Oryctolagus cuniculus: one gene and its partner. The protein of the gene in region 1 purifies or fractionates together with the protein of each later gene. This does not show direct contact. Links are inferred from orthologs where the notes say so. Each region holds a gene or a part of one and is shown on either strand. Other genes may lie near its edges.

Region 1 (3,400 bases):
AAGTGATTGATGTTTTTAATTGGAATCTCAAATATATATCTGTACTTTCTCTGTACTATACTATGATAGAAAACTCAAAGTAAAAATGTTTTAATACATTATGGTGTCAAACATAAATGCTATAAAGTTATAAACATATTGTGTTTGATTTTCTTGCAGGGCAGGCTTTCTATTTTAGAAATCTGTACAAAAAGTATGCCAATAGGGTCTGATGTTTCCTTAGAAAACCTAGCAGCAGAAACCTGTTTTTTCTCTGGAGCTGACCTGAGAAACCTCTGCAGAGAAGTAAGTTAATTGGTGAAGAAATCTGTAGTTGAAAACATTCCTTCTTCTATTCCTGCATTCATCCACTTGGCAGTGTTTTCTGAGACTTCTAAGTGGTGGGTGCACGCCATGTGAGGCACAGATGCAGCCCCTTCCCTTACAGGGCTCACAGGCTGGAGGTGGGGCCGTGCAGAGGCAGATCATCATACTGGACTGGCAGTAGTGACCGTGTAGTGCATTGGGGAAGTTTAGGGTGCTGCTGTACCTAGAGGAATACCAGCCCAGACTTGGGGACCAGGGAAGGCTTTCTGAGTGAGGAAATTAGCAGCATGATTAGGGAGTTCAACAGCTAAGGGAGGGAATACAGTGTGCAGAGGGTTGGCAGTAGGAGAGGATGTGACACTCTTGAATCTTAGAATGGAGAATGGCAAAAAATGGAGCTGATGAAGTAGACAATGGCCAGATCTCACAGGTCCTTGTAAGTACTTGAAAGCAATTAGGTTTTATTTTTGAGGGCAAAAGAAACCATTATAGGCTTTTCTTCTCCCATAAACTTAGGCTAAATATAACTTTTTGTAAAAGATTTATTTATTTATTTGAAAGGCAGAGTTACAAAGAGAAAGAGAGAGAGTGGTCTTCCAACCGATGGTTCACTCCCCAAATGGCTGCAACAGCCAGAGCTGGGCTGATCTGAAGCTAGGAGCTTCTTCCAGATCTCCCATGCTGGTGCAGGGGCCCAAAGACTTGGACCATCCTCTGCTGCTTTCCCAGGTGCATTAGCAGGGAGCTAGATCAGAAGTGGGACTTGAACCAGTGCCCATATATGATGCTGGCATGGCAGGCGTCAGCTTTACCCGCTACGCCACAACACCGGCCCCTAAATATAACATTTTATAAAGCACAGATCAAAAGGATATAGTTATTGACATAAAGCGAACACACTTTTATTCTAACCACCAACTGAACACTGTCAGTTCCCTGAACGTTCCTTTGTTCTCCGTTCATCTGTCACCTGCCTGCTCGCAGAAGTGGTCTGCTGTCCCGGTCTCCAGCACTGGAGATCAGTGTCGCCTGCCTTTGATCTGCACACAGATGACACTAGACGGTGCATGTTATTTCTGTCTGCTCCTTTAACTCAAGACTGTGTTTTTGAAATTCATCCATGATTTTGTATGTAGCCATAGTTTTCTCTACTGCTTTATAATATTCTAGTATATTAATACTCTGCATTTATTTTTTTAAAGACTTATTTATTTATTTGAAAGTCAGAGTTACCCAGAGAGAGGAGAGGCAGAGAGAGAAAAAGAGAGGTCTTCCATCTGTTGGTTCATTCCCCATTGGCTGCAACGGCCGCAGCTGCGCCAATCCAAAGCCAAGAGCCAGGAGCTTCTTCCGGGTCTCCCATGTGGATGCAGGGGCCCAAGAATGTGGGCCATCCTCCACTGCTTTCCCAGGCCATAGCAGAGAGCTGGATCAGAAGTGGAGCTGCCAGGACTCAAACCAGCACCCATATGGGATCCTGGCACTGCAGGCAGCCACTTTAACCACTGTGCCACAGCACGGGTCCCATTACTCTGCATTTTATTTATATTTATTCATTGTTTTCCTTTTGAGCATTTGGATTTCTCCTTTATTACATGTCTCTAGATGCACATGTGTATTTATATCTATTTCATAGCTATGAGAATGGCAAAGTCCTAGAATATGTGTTTGATCTTTTTCCTTAAATTTATGATCAGTGCTGTTTAGAAACTCTTACTACTCCAAGACCAAGAAGATATGGTCTCATTTTCAAAAATATATATGGACTTGTAGTATATTTATTATTCTGCAACTTGGCTCTTTTCCCATTTAAGGCTAAAGTTTAAATGGAGAAGAAATTACAGTCTATGCTACATGTATTTTTAATCATTTTAAATTTGTTAGCTTAATGTTTTTAGTGACATAAATATTGGAATCCTAAAAATGAAACTGAGATTTTGGATTCAAATTTTATAGTATGGCCATGTTACCTTAAAAAAAATATGAAGCCAATTAAATGTTGTCTTATTGCTTGTCCCTCCTAGGCTGCCTTGCTTGCTCTGCAAGAAGATGGACTGGAAGCAACCACGGTGAAACAGGAGCATTTTCTAAAATCACTAAAGACTGTAAAACCATCTTTAAGTCGCGAGGACTTGACTTTATATGAAAACTTATTTAAGAAAGAAAGATTTGCTAATTTAGAAGATACGTAAAAATCACTTTACACCCCTGTTGGGTTGTTTACATGAACTGAAATGGGACTTTGCCTACAGTTTGCAACGTCACACTTTCAGAGTGTGTGTGTATGTGTGTGTGTGTCCTTTAAATAAGGAGAACTTGAACCTGATAAGCTAAGGGTCATCTTATTTCTAAAAGGCATATGTTCAAATAAAAGTTAAAAAAAAATAAAGCTTTTAAAGACACCCTTAAAAAAAGGCATATGTTATTAAAATATGTAATTGAGAAGTGTGTGTATTGATTTTGTCATAAGGATAGCTGGTTTTGGCTGATTCCTTTCTTTTCTTTTTTTCTTTCTTTTTTTTTTTTTTTTTGACAGGCAGAGTAGATAGAGAGACAGAGAGAAAGGTCTTCCTTTGCTGTTGGTTCACCCTCCAATGGCCGCCGCGGCCGGCACGCCGTGGCTGGCGCACCACGCTGATCCTAAGGCAGGAGCCAGGTGCTTCTCCTGGTCTCCCATGGGGTGCAGGGCCCAAGTATTTGGGCCATCCTCCACTGCACACCCTGGCCACAGCAGAGAGCTGGCCTGGAAGAGGGGCAACCAGGACAGAATCCGGCACCCCGACCGGGACTAGAACCTGGTGTGCCGGCGCCGCAAGGCGGAGGATTAGCCTAGTGAGCCGCGGCTCCGGCTCCTTTCTTTAGCTTTGAAATAATTTCATTCTTTCAGAAAAATTACAAGAACAGTACCAAGAACTCTTATATAGTCTAACCCAGATTCATTGGTCTTTAACGTTTTTGCTATATTTGTGGGCTTTCTCTCCTTTTTGTATCTAGGCACACATATACACACTTTTCTAAATGATGTGAAACAGATTATATACTTTATGCCCCTTTTTTCCCTTACTACTTAAGTATGTATTTTTTTTTTAATTTA
Region 2 (3,246 bases), on another chromosome or scaffold:
GGGGCTGGGGGCGGCGCGGGGCGGGGGGCGCGGGCTGAGCGTGCGCACGGGGCTGCTGAACGCGGACGGAGAGGTGCCGGCGGCGGGGCGGGGGGCGCGGGCTGAGCGCTGCCCCCGCCTGCAGGAGGTGGCCATGCGCACGGTGAAGCAGTCCGCCGCCGCCGTGCGGGAGAGCGGTGACGGAGACGAGGACGGGGACGAGCAGGCTGAGCTGGGCGAGGAGGACCTGTTCCACCAGCAGGTAGCGGGCGGGGCGTCCCGCGTGGTCCTGGCTGCGGGCGGGGCGGGGCGGGGGTGTCCCGCGTGGTCCGGGGCTGTAGGCGGGGTGGGGGGCGTCCCGCGTGGTCCTGGGCTGCGGGCAGGGTGGGGGCGGGGTGGGGGCGTCCCCGCGTGGTCCCGGGCTGCGGGCGGGGCTGCGGGCGGGGCCTTCCCCGGAGGGAGCGCCCCGAAGGCCGGGCCTGGGGCCTGACGCGCGCCCTCCCCGCAGGGAGACCCCCGCACCACGTCGAGAGGCTGCCGCGTGATGTGAGCGCCGCCCCGCCCGCGGCCCCCGAGGACTGTAGTTTTCTATCATTGGCTTTCCCCACACCGATACCATTTCCCGAGAATTCTTACAACTGCGGGCGCGGGCGGGGCGGGGCGGGGCGGGGCGGTCCCGGGAGGCGCCAGCAGGGCCCCGCCTCGGCCGGGACCCCCGCCCGCACCCCTGCCCGCGAGCGCGGCGGGCGCCCAGGGACGCTGGCGCTGCGGGGGTCGCGGCCGGGAGCTCCCGCACGGCCCCGTCGGTGCGTGGCTCCTGTCCGTCAGCCGCGGCCCGGCCGCAGGAGCCTCCCACGCACAGACGCTATTTTTTTAATGGATATTTATTTTTTTACATGGGTCAGCCCCACCCCTCGGGCCGACCGCCCAGACCCCCGCCCGGGCCCCGCCCCCGCGCTGCCCCACGCGCCCCCGGGGCACGCACGCCTCGCGCGCAGGGAAGTTGTCTTCACCCCACGCCTTCCCGCGGCGGGGCGGGAACCCCGTGGCCCTGTGCGCGTGGGCTCGGGGGGTCGCGGCCCTGGGGGGGGTCCCGGTCACGCGCCCGGATGCATGCGGCCCCTCCCGTGGTTTGTAACGCATTTTACGACTGGAACCTTTTGTACAACAACACTCCAATAAACGTTTTGATTCTAACCGCGGCCGCTCGCTCCTTCTGTCGCCGGCCCTGGCCACCTCCCCTCGCCCTGGGCGTCCAGGCCGCTGTCGCCTGGGCCGGGCTTTGCCGCGTCACGTGACCTGGCTCCGCCCCAGGCGCGCGCGGGAGTGCGCAGGCGCGACGGGATTCGGCGGAAGCGTGGCGCCTCGCGCATGCGCGGGCATTGTGGGAGTTGTAGTCCGCCGGCCGGCTCCGCTTCCCGTGGTGCCCCGCGCGGCGCGACTTCCGGCGCGGAGACGGGTCGGTGCGCGCGGCCACAGTCCGGCTGACTGCGGAGCCATGGAGGGCAGCTTCGGCTCGGACTTCGGGGGCTCGGGCGGCGGGAAGCTGGACCCGGGCCTCATCATGGAGCAGGTGAAGGTGCAGATCGCCGTGGCCAACGCGCAGGAGCTGCTGCAGGTGCGGGCCGGGGGCGGCGCGGCGGAGGCGGAGGCGGAGGCGCCCGGGCTCGGGCGGCGCGGCTGAGGCCTGCGCGTGTCTCCGCAGAGAATGACGGACAAGTGCTTCCGGAAGTGCATCGGGAAGCCGGGGGGCTCCTTGGACAACTCGGAGCAGGTGAGTCCCGCGGGGGCGCGGGGAGGCTGTGTGCAGGGGCGCGGGGTCCCGGCGCCGGAGGGGAGCTGTGTGCGGGGCGGCGGGGGCGCGGGGTGTCCGTGTGCAGGGGCGCGGGGCGGCGGCGGGGGCGCGGGGTGTCCGTGTGCGGGGGCGCGGGGTCCCGACGCCGGCGGGGAGGTGTGTGCGGGGCGGCGGGGGCGCGGGGTGTCCGTGTGCAGGGGCGCGGGGCGGCGGGGGCGCGGGACGCCGGCGGGGAGGGGGCGCGGGGTCCCGGCGCCGGAGGGGAGGTGTGTGCGGGGCGGCGGGGGCGCGGGGCGGCGGAGGGGGCGCGGGGTGTCCGTGTGCAGGGACGCGGGACGCCGGCGGGGAGGGGGCGCGGAGTCCCGGCGCCGGCGGGGAGGCCTGTGCGGGGGCGCGGGGTCCCGGCGCCGGCGGGGAGGGCCGGGGCGCGCGCGTGTCCCCGGCTGAGCCGCGTGTCCCCGCCGCAGAAGTGCATCGCCATGTGCATGGACCGCTACATGGACGCCTGGAACACCGTGTCGCGCGCCTACACCTCGCGGCTGCAGCGGGAGCGCGCCAACCTGTGACCGAGCCGGACGCCGCAGGCCGGGCGTCGGGGCCGGGTCTGGACCTTGGTGGGGAGGGGGCGCTCGGGCCCCGCTCCGCTGTGACCCCGCGAGGGCGAATAAACGGCTGAGCCAGCGCGGGGACCCGCATTTCTCTCTGGGCGCGGGCGGGGGAGTGCGGTGCCCGCTGCGAGGCTGCCCCCCCGCCCCCCCCCCGGCCCCGCGCGGGACAAGGAGGCGCTGAGCCGTCGGGCTGCGGGCGGGAGCTGTTTATTGGCACAGGCAGGGTCACTCCTGGATGTTTTGCGCGATCCAGGCTCTCACCGCCGCCACCCGGGTGTAGACGCCGGGGAAGTGGGGCCGGCCGCAGCCGTACCCCCAGCTGGTGACCCCCGTTAGCACCCAGCGGCCGGAGGGCTCCCTGCAGGCCAGAGGACCCCCGGCGTCGCCCTGAGGGAGAGGAGGAGGAGGAGGGGGCTCAGCGGAGGCCGCGGGGAGGGCCCGGGACCCCCGGCCGCCCGCTCACCGAGCAGCTGTCGACGCCGCCCTGCGGGAAGCCGGCGCACAGCATACGGCTGCTGATCTGCACCGGGTAGAAGCGGCGGCAGGTCTGCTCGCTGAGCACGCGCACGGCCGCCTGCTGCAGGTGCCGCGCCATGGCGCCTGCGGGGAGACGCCTGCGGTGGGCCGGCCCCGCGCCAGGCCGCGCCGCGCCGCCCGGGCCCCACCGGCGCGCCGCCCCGCGCCTACCTCCCTCGCGCACCGAGCCCCAGCCGGTGATGACGCAGCGCGCGCCCCCGGGCGGCCGCGGCGCGGGCGCGGGCGCGGGCTCGGGCAGGCAGATGGGCCGCACCAGGCGGCTGCGGCGGACCGGCCCGGCCAGCTCCAGCAGCGCCGCGTCGTAGTCCAGCGTGTAGACGTTGTAGA

Evidence for each region. The genes of interacting proteins can lie anywhere in the genome.
Region 2: the proteins of AFG2B (region 1) and TIMM13 purify together in Homo sapiens (co-immunoprecipitation; 3 studies listed by BioGRID and IntAct, with this or other methods). This does not show direct contact. The link is inferred for Oryctolagus cuniculus from reciprocal best matches to the Homo sapiens genes AFG2B and TIMM13.

What each region holds. Positions count from the first base shown.
Region 1 is NC_091443.1:68,054,891-68,058,290, forward strand, and holds the end of AFG2B (ATPase family gene 2 protein homolog B), read left to right. Parts: intron 1-159; coding exon 160-285; intron 286-2,330; coding exon 2,331-2,498; 3' UTR 2,499-2,751; downstream 2,752-3,400. UniProt on the Homo sapiens protein: ATP-dependent chaperone part of the 55LCC heterohexameric ATPase complex which is chromatin-associated and promotes replisome proteostasis to maintain replication fork progression and genome stability.
Region 2 is NW_027208270.1:74,260-77,505, forward strand, and holds TIMM13 (mitochondrial import inner membrane translocase subunit Tim13), read left to right. Parts: upstream 1-1,335; 5' UTR 1,336-1,477; coding exon 1,478-1,597; intron 1,598-1,684; coding exon 1,685-1,753; intron 1,754-2,241; coding exon 2,242-2,340; 3' UTR 2,341-2,456; downstream 2,457-3,246. Other genes in the region: LMNB2 (lamin-B2), read left to right, coding at 125-241, 488-529. UniProt on the Homo sapiens protein: Mitochondrial intermembrane chaperone that participates in the import and insertion of some multi-pass transmembrane proteins into the mitochondrial inner membrane.